2 linked regions of the Tamandua tetradactyla genome follow. The protein of the gene in region 1 interacts with the protein of each later gene in a pairwise test. Links are inferred from orthologs where the notes say so. Each region holds a gene or a part of one and is shown in the gene's direction. Other genes may lie near its edges.

What was found.
Region 2: the proteins of RAPGEF4 (region 1) and BMERB1 interact in binary tests that used the Homo sapiens proteins (3 or more experiments, as listed by UniProt). The link is inferred for Tamandua tetradactyla from reciprocal best matches to the Homo sapiens genes RAPGEF4 and BMERB1.

Annotation. Positions count from the first base shown.
Region 1 is NC_135329.1:144,544,060-144,552,309, forward strand, and holds the start of RAPGEF4 (rap guanine nucleotide exchange factor 4), read left to right. Parts: upstream 1-4,839; 5' UTR 4,840-4,874; coding exon 4,875-4,939; intron 4,940-8,250.
Region 2 is NC_135349.1:37,582,819-37,590,507, forward strand, and holds the start of BMERB1 (bMERB domain-containing protein 1), read left to right. Parts: upstream 1-4,663; 5' UTR 4,664-4,713; coding exon 4,714-4,819; intron 4,820-7,689.

The DNA of each region.
Region 1 (8,250 bases):
TTTCTTAGGCAAGAGAAAGAGGATGGCATGCTGCTTTGTTGGAACTGGCCTGCACCTTCAGAGTTTAATGGGCAAAAGTAGGCAAGAGTGTGTCCATTGACCAGATGCAGGACATGCAAGAGAAAACCAGCCCCTTTAAATCCCACCCAAAAAGACAACTGGGGTGGGGAATTGGGTAAATTGGGACTCCCACAGAGGGAGTCAGCATGCAAGGGACTTCAGGAATGTCAAGTTTGAATGGGGAGCAGGGAGCCAAAAGGGTGGCACTGCCCACAAATAGAGGCCTAGCAGGGCGGCAGCCAGGGAATATGTGCCAGCACCTGCTTAACACATCTGCCAGGCCTGGTAAATGTGAAGCCAGCTTACTGCTTCACAGTCAAGTATGGACTTTCCCTCTTTCCTTTTCTTTCCTCGGATCCTGGCAGAGGTGAACAAGAGGACAAGAAGCTGACCACACTTCTTTCCAAAAGTCAGAGACATGCCTGTGACCAGCTGTGGTTGGGGAGAGGAAGAAAGAATGATCTTAGAAGAAAGACTGAAGTATTCAGGAAGATATTGGTCCAGACATTCTAAGAGAAAGACCCTAGCTAGCACTTTTTGTTACCTATAAGGGACCAAAAACTGCTATATTCAGCTGCAGGAATAGAATTACCCGCACCGAACAAGTTTAAAGTGGTAGTGAGAAAAAACATTAAAAATTGCCTTGAAGATCTCACTCTAGGAGTACTGCTTGTTCAGTGAGTTGGTTCTATCACCAGTGGGAGTTATAGATGGTTCTTATAACTCAGCTTCCAATGAGGTACCAGAACATTGTGACGGTTCTCCCCATACATAGAAAACTGGAATGTCCAATCTACGATAGCACTGGTCAGGATGCTATGACAGGAAAATGTAGGACCCTCTCCTACTTCAATCACTGTGCTGCTGTTCTATACATTGCAGTAACAACCCACCATTATGTGCTTTTAGTTTTCATACGAAGAATGGCAGAGTTAGAGCAAATGGAGAAAAGACTGTGAAAGTCTAAAAGTGTCTCTGAAAAGCTTTAGTGTTTCTCAGGGACATTAATCCTTTGTACCATATGCAACTGAAACTTGCAATTTACAGGTGTCAAGACCCTTTAGTATAAGTGATCTCAACTGATTCCCACCAGATCCCTGTGAAATACAGAAGGCAGTTACTCTTTATCTGTAGTGTACCGAGAATAATGATGGTAAGAGCTGTGTTCTTGAACATTCACTATGTGCTAGCTCTTAGGCTAAGTGTCCTACCAGCATCATGTTCATGTATCATACTATTAATTTCTACACTTGCAGCTGATGAAACAGTCCAAGAAATCCACTTAAGGTCACACACTTAGTAAGAGACGGAGCTGCAATTCGAACATGGCTGCTAATCTCCAAATTCCGGACTTTGAACCTCTACTCAATGCACAACATAAAACTCAGACATTGAATGACTCATTCAAGGTCTACAGCTGGTAATAAGTGGCATTTGCAGGCCTGGGGTTTGTGACTCCTTGTCTTCACCCACTGGAGCTCTTTAGCTTTCTTATAGAAAGAGAGAACTCACTAAACGATTGGAAGGAGATTAGTGAAAAATATATTTTGTCATTGGAAAAAAAAAACATGTCAAAAGATGGGTAAATTATATCCATACTTTAGAATATTTTGTAGCCAGTAAAACTTTTTAATGAAGAGTTTTTTAAACATGCCAAGCATTTTTGTTTTCCAAGTAGAAAAAGTAGCCTATAAAATAACTAATGCTTTCCAGTCTGTATACATACAACTATCTATATACATATACACATATACATGATTGAAAGTAAACAGCTAGTTACATGTATGTATTTATGTGTATGATTGCATATTTTTAAAATAGAAATGCTCGGAATGAAATGCACTAAAATATTAACGATGTTATCTCTAGGTGGTGGAATGATGATGGGTAATTTTTACTCTCTCCTAAACTTTATTTCCCCCCCAAAAAAGCAATGTGTGTTTTATTGTTATAATTATTTACTTTTTTACAGCTTTATTGAGCTATAATTTACATACAAAAAATTTACTCATTTTAAATGTACAATTTAAATGATTTTTATTAAATTTACAGAGTTCTGAAACCATCACCACTATCTAATTTTAGAACATTTCCACCAACCCAAAAAGATCCCTTGGGCCCATCTGCAGTCATTCCCCGTTCCCACCTGCCAGACACAGGCAATCATTCTACTTTCTTTCACTATAAATTGACTTTTTCTGCATTTCATATAAATGGATCATATAATATATTGTCTTTTTGGTCTGGCCTAATTTATGTTCTTTAAAGAAAGGAAAAAAATATTCTTTGTTTCTTTGCCTTTCCCATGCAAACCAAACAAAATCCCATATTTTCCTGCTCCTTATAATAAGATAACTAATCATCAACTTCTCATTCGTCCGTAGCTCTTGACCAACAATCAAATCCCTTTCAGGTCACAAAAATAATGTGTAGAACAGTAAAGCTATTCCTGATATTTCAAGGACCTCTTTTTATCTTTTGTTCCTCACAAACTTCCCTCTTCCTACACAAAAACAACTGATTCATAACCAAAAATAACTGACTCTTTCAATACAGGTGAATTTTGTTCTTATCAATCAGGCAGTCATTCTACTGACAGAATGAGGTGCAAGGACTGAAATCAGATCTAAAATCTAATTCAGGGCCCCCAGCTCAAACTGGGTTATCAGGGGCAAGTTATCAACGCCTTCTTGAGTTACAGTGTGCTAGTGAGTATTTTGGAGTTACTAGAGCTGGATGGATATGTTTATATGCTCTGGGTTAGCTAATAATTGTTGGTGTTCCTTTGAAAGGATATTTTTTAGATAATTCTTCAAATTCTATTTAGAGGAAAAGCAGGGTCCCATGCAGCAAAACAAAGGCCTCCCACTCTCCTTAACACGCACGTCTCACCCCCAAGCAGCTTATCAGCTGCTTTCTTCTACACCAGTCAGCGCCCTCTCTGAGTACTGACAAATATAATTTCCCAATCACATTACATTTTCAAAGATGTTTATCTCTCTTCGTGGAGTAGTGGCTTGGGCACCTGTCCTTCTGGCTCTGCCTCATAGAATGTTGTAAAGATTAAATGAGATAACACATGTAAAGAACTCTGCATAGCATCTGACACTCAGTGGATGCTGAAAACAACAGCACCTCTGAGCCTCTGTGTAATGACAGACATGGTGCCGTTCCCTTCTCCTCTAGCTCCTTACCTCTAAATGTTCTCTGAGTAAAGGCATTTTGAGAAAGTACCTGGCGACCTTGAAACATCCTCAGTAGTTCTCTGATGCCTTTATAACTTAAACCTAATAAATCTAGGAGCCTCATTTCCTTCTTCCATACCTATATCATAAAAAAGCAGCAATATATATACATCTGTTAATCTTTATATAGTATAATATTTGTATGCAATTAACCTTATAGAAATAAACAGGATGGAGATCAACCGGAGCTGGCAGGAGCAGCAGGCACTTGCTGCTGAGGGAACACTATGGCAGGTCTGAAACCAGATCCTAGCTATCCAAAGGAGGGGAACTGACAAATTCTTTGGAGGTCTTTAATATCACAGTAGTTTTATTAGGATAAAAGCATCCCAGAAAGCATCTGCAGTCTCCTCCCAGCAAGGTAGTGAAGGAATGGATAGGAGAGAAGAAGCAAGGAAAGTAAGGCTTTTTGTGTCCCCATTGTCTGTTCCCAAACTCACACCACAGATATCGAAACCTTGCTTAGTAGTATGCCAAAAGATTTAAATTGTCTCCAAATTCCAGCAAATAATTTAATTTCTGGCAGAGTGTAACTGAATAACTTCTACATATAACACTTGTGAACATCCACAGTAGACAGATTGTTATGACAACCCATTCAACAACTCCAGTTCCGGAGAGAATGGCGTGTGGGGCCAACCGTCCCAGTTAACCCAAGTTCCTTGGGATCGTGGCCCCTACATTTCTAAATCTCATTTCTGCTTGCTGCCCCACTACACATTTTTAATTGCATTTCTTTTCATCAGGCAGGTGATTTCAAGCCCTGCTAAGATCATCATTAGTGACTTCAGTTTTTCATTCCCTTAGCCACCACTGGTCACTTTTTCTTTTCAGCCCATTCTGGCCCAACGGCCTTCCCTCCCTGCCTCAGACGGTTCCCCTCTGTCCCAGCCCTTCCTCACCTCTCAGGAGAAACTGTCTTCTGAATTCCAGAAACCACTGTGTGTGTGTTCCCATCCTCACACTGCACTACTCTTTCTTACCTTCCATCACTTTTTAAGGGGAGACATGAAAGGTGAGCAAGAGATTGCCAGCAAGTTTTGACAGCTGCTAAAGAAGACTAATGGGTTTCTAAGGAAACAGAGAAGCAGCAGCCATTTTAGTGGCTTTTGCTGTATGAAAAATATATAGACACTGCCAACACCCTCCCCAACCCCTCCCCCCGTACACCCGTGCCGCTCTCCCTCCTTCCCTGCTTCTGAGGCGCCTAAGTGAGGGGTGGGACCCAGGTCTCCCGGGGACGCCTTGGCCACCTGTCGCAGGTGGCCGGCTACCTGGGGTCTCACCCCCACCTCCGGCGGGCGGGCCTGAGGGACTTCTCACCTCGCGCGCCGCAGTGCAGCCCGCGGGCGGCTCGGGCCCTGCTCGGCCCCGCGTCCCGCCCCTCCAGGCCCCTCCCTCGCCGGGCCCCCTGCCCCGCAGGCCGTGGGAGCCCGCGGGGAGGGCGGGCCCGTTGCAGCCGCGCTGGTGGCGGGGCGGGCAGGGAGGAGCGGGGTCCGCGAGGCGGAGCCGAGGCAGAGCGAGCGGGAGGTCGCCGCAGCTGGGGGACACGGCGCACCGCTGCCCAACATGGTCGCTGCGCACGCTGCCCATTCTTCCTCCTCTGCCGAGTGGATCGCCTGCCTGGATAAAAGGTATCTCGGGAAAGGCCCGCAACTGGGAGCCGGGGCTCTGCGGCTCTGCTCCTGTCCCGGAGTCCGCCCGCGGGTGCGGCTGTGAGGAGCCGGAGCTCCGTACCTGGGGCGCCAAGCGGCCCGGGCTGCGGGTGGCGGAGGGTCCCCGAGTCGGGGAGGAGGCTGAGGGTCCTCGTTAGGGATGCAGAGGACACAGACCCTGGCCTTTGGTGGAGTGCCACTTGCGTGATCATTACACGTGGTGGAGAAAATGCAGCGCAGTGGGGAGAGAGAGCACCATCCTTGCCAACCTCCCGCTTCCCTCATTCATTCTCTTCTCCCCTCACCTTGCTCTCCCCTTACCCCGTTCTCACCCCTCATTGCAGGCGCTGCTCCTCGATGGGGGTTATTTTCTCTTGGCATCACAGGACAGAATAGATTCAATGGCCTTTCAGACCATTAGGGGTAAACGTATTTTAAGTTTTAAGGAGAGGGTTGGGGGAGGCAGGTGCAGAGTAGCATTCTTTTTTGTTGTTGTTCCTGAAAGCAAAGTGTGAGGGACCCAGTGGAGCTGTCAAGTCCCTTGTTGAAAATTCACGGCTCTCTGCCCCCACAGTCACTCACTCAAGGTCTGTGTGGGGAAGGTCACGCAGGAGGCGGCTTGCTTCTTAAGACTTTCTTCTCGGGGAAAAGACCCTTACTCTTAAAAAATTAAGAGCACAAAACATTCTGACTCCCCACGACCGCTCTATAAGCAGGGTGCCATGTGTAACAACGGACTGCAGTTGTTTCCAGGCTTTGACAGCATAATTTTCTGTTTGTCCAGATTGTAGGTTTAGCAGTAAACATTACACAGTATGTTAGCAATTATAGTTTATTACTCTGATTAAAAGGTGATGCATCTGAAGTTTCAAGAACTGAGCAAGAAATCTGCAGCGCGAACTGCCTCTGAATTTCAGAGTTTGAGGCAGAAGGAGAATGATTCATGTCTTGCAGCTATCTGCGTGACATCTCTATTTGCACTTGTGTGAAATATTTTTCACTCTGCCATGTTGAAATTTTTACAATTAGCAGATTCATAAGCAGATCGAATTTGAAAACCTGAAATGTGACATGATCTGCATACTCTAAAATTATAGGCCTTTGTTGAAAAATATTAAGTAATTTGAGAAAAGCGAAATGTAGCTCATTTGTATAACTTAATTTATCTAAGAAATAATCATGACTTTCAATTATCATACAGTAGCAAGATTTTTTGGCAGGCAGTGCCCTATTTATGTCTAAAATGATATGTACTAATATTAGAAGAGCTGCATGCAATAAATAGTAAGAGAATTGAAATGATGGTTAAATCATACAGAATTATGTAGAGGAATTAAGAGCATATTTAAGTGAAGAGCCTGTAATATGCGAAGTAATCTAAATTTAATATTTTGAGAAAGATGAATTATAAAAGAAGAAAAAATCAAGCTCTGGCACTTAAACTATAAATAGTGCTTCCTCGTGAGTGGATTTTTTGACTAATAGATTACATATTTCTATTTGCAGAATTGCATGGCCTGCCACTTTTTGAACACTAGGTAATTGGCTGGAAACCCTTTAGTCAATAAGTACTTATGGCTAAATGTATGTACTAACACCAGGGGGGCATATTTGATTCTGTATTTTCAAAATGTTTTTTCTACCCGAAAGACTTGGCATGAAATGGATTTTTGGAACCTGGTGCCACAATCTAATGCCACCATTCATGATGGGGGAAAAAAATCTACCAGAAAAAAAAAACCCTCCACAAAAACTGAGCTTACTATTACTGGAGTGCACGACAGTGGAGAGATCAATAAGCTAAGGTTTTAGGCCCAGAGTTGTCACCAACACTGCTTTTGGATAGTCACTTTAATTTCTTTGAGTAGCTGAAAAAATGAGGATAGGACAAACTGTCTTGACTCCCAGGGGTGAGTGGATAAAATAGAGAGCAGGAGAGTCTGGTGGAAGTACTTTGAAAACTGCACAGTGCCACTGCTTGGTGCCCTGTAAGTATTTTATTTTGTAGTATTAAGAGCATCTTGTATTTCCCATCATGTTGATGACAGAATTCCTATGAAGCCCAGGTTAGAAGTGGCAGTCTTTTTTTTTTTTTTTTTTTTTTAAAGGAAAGACAGAGAGAAGGAAGGAAGGATAGAAGGAAGGAAGGAAGGAAGAAAGGGAAACATCTTTAAACATTTTCTTGTTTTTATTGTATTCTGTTTCTCCGTTTTTGTTACATGGGCTGGGGCCGGGAATCGAACCGAGGTCCTCCGGCATAGCAGGCAAGCACTTTGCCCGCTGAGCCACCGTGGCCCGCCCAGAAGTGGCAGTCTTTTAAGTGAGCCTCGGGGGACTAGTTTTGAGGGTACATTTTTACTTAGATTATATATGCAAATTTTTAAAACATTTTTTATCATGAAATATGATGTACGTACAAAAATGCAATAAATTTCAAAGTTCACTGTAACAAGTACTTATAGAATAGATTTCAGAGTTTAGTGTGGGTTGCAGTTCAGTAATTTCAGGTTTTTCCTTCTAGTTGCTCCAAGACACTGGAGACCAAAAGAAATATCAGTATAATGATTCAGCAATTATACTCATTTGTTAAGCCCTATCTTCTTTGTTTCTTCCCCTTTGATCCTTCTCCCAATCTTTAGGGATATTTGGGTTGTGCCCATTCTACCTTATCATGTTGGAAAGGGGTGTCGATAATATGGGATGGGGGAGGGAACTAGTTGATGTTCTTGGAGAGGCTGGCCCCTCTGGGTTTCAGGACTCATCTGGCCTAGGAACCATCTGGAGGCTGTGGGTTTCTGGAAAGTAATCTTAGTGTGTGAAACTTTGGTAGAATCTCAGTTAGAGCCCTGGGTATTCTTTAGGGTAACGGGAATGGTTTTGGTAAACTGTGGTGATTAGCAATATCTAGCTGAAGCTTGTGTAAGAGTAGCCACTCCACTCTATCTGAACTCTCTTAGCCACTGATACCTTATTTTGTTACATTTCTTTTCCCCCTTTTGGTCAGGAAGGCATTGTCAGTCCCCCTGTGCCAGGGCTAGGCTCATTCCTGGGAGTCATGTCCCACGTTGCCAGGGAGAATTTCAGCCCAGGATGTCATGTTCATGTAGATGAGGAGGGTAATGATTTTCCTTGCAGAGTTGGGCTTATAGAGAGGCCACATCTGAGTAACAAAAGAAGTTCTTTTGATGTACCTTTAACCATAACTATAGATAGGCTTAGCTTCTTTGCTACAGAAATAAGCTTCATAAGAGCAAGCCTCAAGATCAAAGGCTTGGCCTATTGACTTGGGA
Region 2 (7,689 bases), on another chromosome or scaffold:
TTCTCTTGCATGTCCTGTCCCACTCAATAACCCCCCCTAAAGGTTATTCTGACATCTACCACCATAGATAAGTTTTGCCAATTTTCGAACTCTATATAAATGGAATCGTTCAGTATTCCTCTTCTATGTCTGGCTTCTTTTGCTTAATATTTTATCTATAAGATTCGTTCATTTTGTTGGTAGTCATTTGGTCTTTTCATTGCTGTGTAATATTCCATCATGTGAATAAACCACAATATAGTTATCCATTCTATTGTTGGTGGACATTTGGGTTGTTTCCATTTTGGGTTATTATGAATAAAATTGCTATGACGTTGCTGGACAAAAGCATTTATTTCTCTTGGAATAATACCCAGGGCTGGAATTGCTGTGTAATAGGATACACATATATTTAGTTTTATAGGATATCACCCAACAGTTTTCTAAAGTGGTTGTACTATTTTATACACCTAATAGCAGTGAATGGTTGTTTTGATTTCTTCATATCCTCACCATCACTTGGTAGGGTTAGCTTTTAAAATTTTAGTCACTGTGCTATGAGTAAAATGCCCATCACACATCTGTAAGAAATCTTAACATTTTCGCTTCAGATTTCTTTTAAGAACTATAAAGTTTAGATATCTGCTTGCAAATCTACTGAAAGAATTATGGGTATTTATAATGCTGTTATTGCAACTTTTCTGTAGGTTTGAAATTTTCAAAGTAAAAAGTTTGAGAAAAAATAAATGTAAATTTTAGGTACAGCTGAAATAAACTATTTACCCTTCCCCAATCTTTTTCCTCTGCCTCCCCAGAGGTTGCTATCATCTTGAGTATGTTATTTATACTCATGTATACGCATATAGATTAATGGACAATAATAGCATTATTTTGTAGATTTCAAAAGCTTATGTGTGATATCATACTATACCTATCGTTTCACTAATGACCTTTTTTCCCTCTCATTATGCTTCCAAGAAGTATCCATATTGACTTATGTAGTTCTGGTTTGTATATTGATGTATAGGAGTCTATTATATGAATTTACCACAATATATCAATTTTCCCATCAATGGAGCATAAAAGATGCTCCCAATTTTCTGCAGCTACAAACATTGCTGCATTGAAAGTTCTTGTGCCCATTTCTTTGCATACATGGCAGGAGTTTCTTTGGGGTATATACCTAGAAGTAGAATTACACATCTTCAACTTGATTAGGGAGTGCCAACCTACTCTTAAAAGAAGTTATATCAATTTATTTGCTCATTAGCATGATATGAAGGTTCAGATGAGATGACAGCACATATAATTATTAGACATTTTTGCCTATCTGATGCTATGTCCTTGTTTAAATTTTCATTTCTCTTTTTATTAATGAGATTAAGAATCTTTTCATATTAAACTTTTTCCTCCCTATGAACTATTTTTATCCTTTGCCCATTTTTTTTTTTTACTGGGATGTCATTTTCTTATTAATACGCAGAATTAAAAAGAAACATGTACTTGCTATTAATCCTTTGCCCATTTTTCTACTGGGATTTAATTTTCTTATTAATGTAGAGTTTATTAAAAATATATACTGGATACTAATCTTTTGCCAATATTGTTAATTACAGTATTTCTTCCTGGTTTGTTTTTACTTTGTTTATAGTGAGTTGCATTGAACTGAAATATTCTAATTTTAATGTAGTTAAACTTAGTATTTTTTTGGTAAGGTTCATGTTTTTTGTGTCTCAATTAACATATTTTTCTATTTTAAAGTATGAAGGTATTCTCCCATATCATCTTACAACATTTTCAAATTTTAACTTCTACATGTAGATCTTTGATCCATCTGGAATTTGTGTGTGTGTATGTATGGGTGCATACATGATAGGAAGTATAAGGTTAAAAATCTATACTGCTTTGTAGTGCCTCACTTTGTCATATATCAACTTTCCAAATATGCGTGGATCTATTTGAGGGCTCTCAAGTTTATTCTTATGTCTTAAGCCTTTATAATGGGTTTTGATATCTGACAGTTAAGTTCTTCCTACTCTATTTATATACTTCAACACTGGCTTACCTTTTTCTGGTCCTTTGCTCTTCCTTTTAATTTTTGAATCAGCTTGTCAACATCTTTTAAAACTCCTTTTCTGTATTGAAGTTTCCACTGGAATTGCACTGAGGAGAACTGCCATCTTTATGATACACCCGTGAATATGGTATATCTATATCTCCATTTTCTTCACTTCTTAAAATGTTGCTTAACAAAGCAACATGAAAATAAATAAGTGAATAAATAAATAATTGCTCCAGGAGACATAAAATAATCTTTTTCTCCTCAAAGGTCTTTCTTTGCTATTATGATTATATTTGTATGTTTGATTGATAAAGTTAGTTGTACAAAAATACTACTATTCTTATGTGTTTATTTTATTTCCAAAACCCTGCTCTTATTAATTTTAGTAGCTTATCTGTGAATTTGCTTGCATTTTAATGTAGATGAGTACATTGTCTGAAAAGGAAAGTTTTATTTCTTCTGTTTTAATTCTTATACCATGTTTCTTTTTCAGGTTTAATTAGGATAGAGCCCCTCAGAAGTGGAAATTGTTCACATCCTTTTCTTGTTCCTGACTTAATGGAGGTGTTAGTAGAGCGTCAACAGTAAATACATTTGCCATAGACATTTGATAGTTACTCCCTAGAAGGTTAGAAAGTGTCCGTCTGTTTTTAGTTAGCTAAGAAAAAATATTTAGATACATATGGTCAAGAAATTTTTTACTGCTGCTTTTTATCTACTTTTGGTATCAAGATTATACTATCCTCATAAACAATGTTTATAAAGTAAGCATTAACTATTATTTCATAAAATTCATCCATAAAACTGTCTGGCCTGTTGTCTCTGTGAGAATGAAAATGAAAATAATTTTTTCTATTAAAATTTAATGTTTGAAATGGTTATTGATTTGGTTTCTTATTTCTTAAATACATTTAGATATATTTTTAGAAAATTATCCATTTTAACTCAGTTTAAAACTTAATAAAATTGTAATCTGTTTCCTTTTCCACTCTTCATAGTACTCATGTGTGCCTATTTTGTTTGTTTTTTCCCTCCAAGGAATTAGATTTTGATTTTATTGATATCCCTATTGCTTTTTTTTTTTTTTTTTTTTGCATAGGCAAAAGGCGCTGGTAATCAAACCTGAGTCTCTGGCGTGGCAAGTGAGAATTCTGCCACTGAACCACTATTGCCCGCCTTTTTTGGGGCAGGGGTGGGGTGGGTGGGTGGGTGCATGTTCTGGGAATCCAGCTGGGGTCTCCCACATAGAAGGCCAGCATTCTAACCACTGAACTACCAGTGCACCCCCTATTGCGTTTTGATTTTTCTATTTCATTAGTTTATGCTCTTATTTTCATTATTTCTTTTTTTTTCTTACTTTGCTTAGGTTTCACTGCTATTTTTTTCTCAAGTTACTTGAGTTGAAGGTTTAATCTATTTATTTTTAGTCTTACATTTCTAAATGAGTGCATTTAATGCCATACATTTACTTACATCAAAATTTACAAGTTTGGGTATGTGATACTTTCATTGTTATCCAGGTCTAAATAATTTTTTTTTTTTTTCGCATGGGCAGGCACCAGGAATCAAACCCGGGTCTCTGGCATGGCAGGCGAGAACTCTGCCTGCTGAGCCACCATGGCCCACCCAGTTCTAAATAATTTTTGATTTTCATTGTCATTTCCTTCTCCTCCCATGAGCTGGTTAGAAGCCCATTACTGGTGATAACTTTCTAGAGGCTTTTGTTACCAGTTACTAATCCGTTTTCTTAAAGAACTGGTCATTTTATACTTCACAAACCATGCAGATACCAGAATTGTCCCAGGTAGCATCTTAAAAAAAAAACAACGACAAATAACAAACTAATTTTTATCAATCATGGTTCTGACTTTTACTAAATATTTCGCTCTGTATTTTTAATGCTGCCATGCTTTTCTAGTAAGATATAACTCTGGGTTTTTTGAAAAGTAAAGATCCCACGCTCCACATAGCCGTGAGCACCTGAGTCCAAAATATTTTCATCTCTCTTTCAAGTTCACAGAAACTCACACAGAATCGACACAGGTATTCCCAGACAGGACTGGATTTCACATCCAGTTTCGCATCCAGCTTATACCCACGGATGCAAACGACAGAGGTCATCAAAGAAGCACACTCATTCAAGCACAGAACCCACGGATCCAGGTCCGCACTCACGCTTCTGTACGCACACTCCCCACAAAGATGGATCCATTGCCCACAGGCAGAGACGCGCTCACAAATCCCACTCAATGCCCAGCAGCCCGCTGACAGATAACTAGTCCCCAGCGCCGTCACCCTCATGCAGAGCCTCCACCAGCACGAATCTCTGTGAGGTTCTCCAGGATGATCAGAGGACTTTTCTTGCTCTCTTTGGGATGGTTTTATTTTAGTTGCTTCTGTTGTTGGTCTTAAGAGTTCTCAACCTCCCCTCTTTCTCCCTACCCAGCCCCCAAGCCTTGCCCCCCTAAGTCTTCACTGCGCATGCTCCCTGCATCCCTCCCCCCTCCTGGGTACCAGTCGGCGCTCCCTGGCCCTGCCAGCGGAAGAGATGGAGCCGCGTCACGAGCGCCCGGCCCCTTAAAACGCTGCTGGCTGGAGCCACCTCCCTCCCTGCAGCCCGCGGCGGGGATGGAGTAAAGGGAGGCGCGTCGACCTCCTCGCGCGGATCAGCGATGGAGTTAAAGCCATCCCTGTCCACCCATTTGGAAGCTGAGAAGCCTCTGAGGCGCTATGGGGCGGTGGAGGAGACGGCGTGGAAAGCCGAGGGACTGGGGAGAAGTGAGTACTTGGGCGGGGACACAGTTGGAGAGAGGTGCGCTCGAGCCGGTGGTCGTCGGAGCACGGGGGACAGCGGGAGCAAACCCTAGGAGGCGCCCCCACAGCGGCGCTTTTATCCGGGAGGGGGTGGGGGGTGGGATGCGCAGCACTGCACAGCGACGCGCTGTCCCCGCGAACAAAAGGGGGACCCTTCAGGCTGGGCTTCGCAGGGGAGGCTCAGAAAATCGCTAGTCTTGTTAAGCCGGGAGCCTGGGTCTGTCTTTCCCGCAGCCGAGAGCAGGCTCCTTTCTCCGCCGGAATGAGCTTAGGGGCTCGCGCCGTAGGACCATCCTAGAAAGCGCCCACGTCCCTGGAGAGGGGGGGAGTGTCCGCTGGACTTCCGCTCTGCTTTTCCCCAACGTGAGGTTCAGGGCACACCTGAAATTCCCAGGGTTTCTTTCCCCTCTTCTGAGTCGGGAAGGGTTAGAGGTGGAGGGCGGGAGACTGAGAGGGGGAGGTTAACCCTGTGCGCACCCTTCTTTCTCCCTCGACTCAATTGAAGTCTTGGGTTTGGTTACAATCCTAGAATGCAGTGCTGAAGCAGACCGGTTGTATTTGCCGGTCTGCTCTACAGATTTTCGGTGCCAGCATTTCCCAAACACAAAACGAAGGATTTTTGTTTTTAATTGATAGGACACAACAGTTGAAACTCCTGCCCTCAAAGTGCAGAGGCAGTCGTGGGGCCGTGAGATCACCAGCCCTCCCTGCAAATCCGGCGGGTTTCCCTCTGCCCCTGCCCTTGCATTGCTTGCACGGTGCCTCCGGCCAAGCTGGGAAAGGCTCGCTCGCCCTTCTCAAGGAGCCTGCGGCTTCCTGCCTTGGCTCCAGGTAAATGTGCCCAGCGCTCCTCCTGGGCACCAATCTCAGAGCTGTGTTGAGCCAAAGTATTGTGAATGTGCTTCTTTCCCGTCTCACCTGGAAGAAAACTGTGTGTGCAAGTGTGTGCTTTATTCATACTTGGAATTATGAATTGAGAAATCTTTCCACAATGGCTCAGCTCTATTCTGGTTATGATGGGTTCAAATTGAAATCAAATCAAATCAAATCAAATCAACGTCTTAGTTCTTCACCTGCTGGGATGGAAGAGGTAGGGTTTTCTACCTCTCCTCTTCTTTCCTTTCCTTTCTTTTTTCCTTCCTTCTTTCTTCCTTCTTTCTTCCCTCCCTCCTTCCCTCCTTTCCTTCCTTCCTCCCCCTCCCTCTTCCCTCTTTCTCCCCTTCCTTCCTTCCTTCCTTCCTTCCTTCCTCTCTCTCTCTTGCTTTCACTCTCTCTCACTTTTTCTTTCTCTCCCCATCTCTCCTTCCTTCCTCCTTCTGTTTCTTCTTCTCTTCTACCTCATCTGCATCCTTTTTTTCTTTTCTCCTTCTCCCTCTCCTGGGTCATTTCTCTGTGTTTCAACTTTTTAGGCTTTGGTCCTCTGTCATGACATCTGGGCTGAGAGTCTCTATTTCCTAAAAGCTGAAAATTATGGCTTTTATGGCAGATTACCATTTGCCTACCAGGTCCTGTGCTAAGAACTTTAAATGCGGCATCCCATTTAATCCCCACAACAACCTTCTGAGGTGAGTATATCATGACTTGCCCTGCACAGATGGGGAAACCAGCTTGTTAGGTGATATGACTAAGTGGCAGAGCCAGGATTCAAACCCAGTTTTGTTAGACCACAGAGTCCTGTTTTTAATCATAAAGTTTGATTGCTTTCACATTTTCAGGAATCTTCCTAAAGGTGTTGAGGGAATCCCAGAATATGTTCAGCAGTTTTATGAGTTTGGGGCAGCTCTGTTGCGCTCTGATCGCACAGTGGCCTTAGGACAAGAAAGAATGTGAGGGTCCATGTTGAGTATAAGCTGTATCTGAGTATGTCGTGGATTCAAATCCTGTCTTTGTCCTTTATTAGCTGGGTGATTTTAGGCACATTTCTAAGCCTCTCTCTGCCTCAGTTTTCTGAAAATGGTTATAAAGGTGCTTATCTTATAACTTTCTTCTAAATATTAAATAAGACGATGTATCTAGACCTCAAGGTAAATGCTTAATATATAATAGCTGCTTCCATTATATTATTGCTACATGTGTATAAGGAGCCTGCTTTTTCTTTGCAAGGAATTACATAAAGCCACACCCCAAACTCAACTCTAATGTTGGTCAGTTCCCTAATAACTCTCTGGTAGTATTTATTTCCTTACTATTTTATTGGGAGCATTTTCAAACATGCAGAAAAAAATTTAGTGAACATCCAATTTAAAGTGTTGTAGCTCCCTGAATTTTTTATATGGCTAAGTCCCGGGCTACAAACTGTTAAAAAAAACCTTGAGTAAAATGCTTTATCCTTCTCTCCTCCGAGTCATCAGATTGTCAGTCTTGTTTCTTATCCGAATGCAAGACCACGGTTTCTGATCTGCTTTTCCATGCATCCCCAAATCCAGGTGGGGCTTTTCCTTCCTTTTTACATATTCAAACTTGAAATCTTCTTAAAGCTTTGCTCCAGAGTCCCACTTTTGAATCTTGGCTCTGAGATTTTTTGAATCTTGGCTTTAGCCATTTTTTTTTCATCTTTAGATGCATGGCTGCATCCTGGCATATTGTTTTGGAACTCCCTCTCAATTCCCAGGAGATACATGGAACCATCTCATAATGTCTGGGGCTTCCATTTATTTGTTAATGAAATATAAAAATTAGTAGCATTGATTCTGTGGCACAATGAAAGCCAAGTTAATATTATAATGCATGATATGCTGGAGGAAATGAGAGGGTCATTGAGAAGGAGGAGGCATGGGCTGTTTAACTTCTATACATATTTAAATATTTTTATAAGATACTGAGTGTGTGTTAAT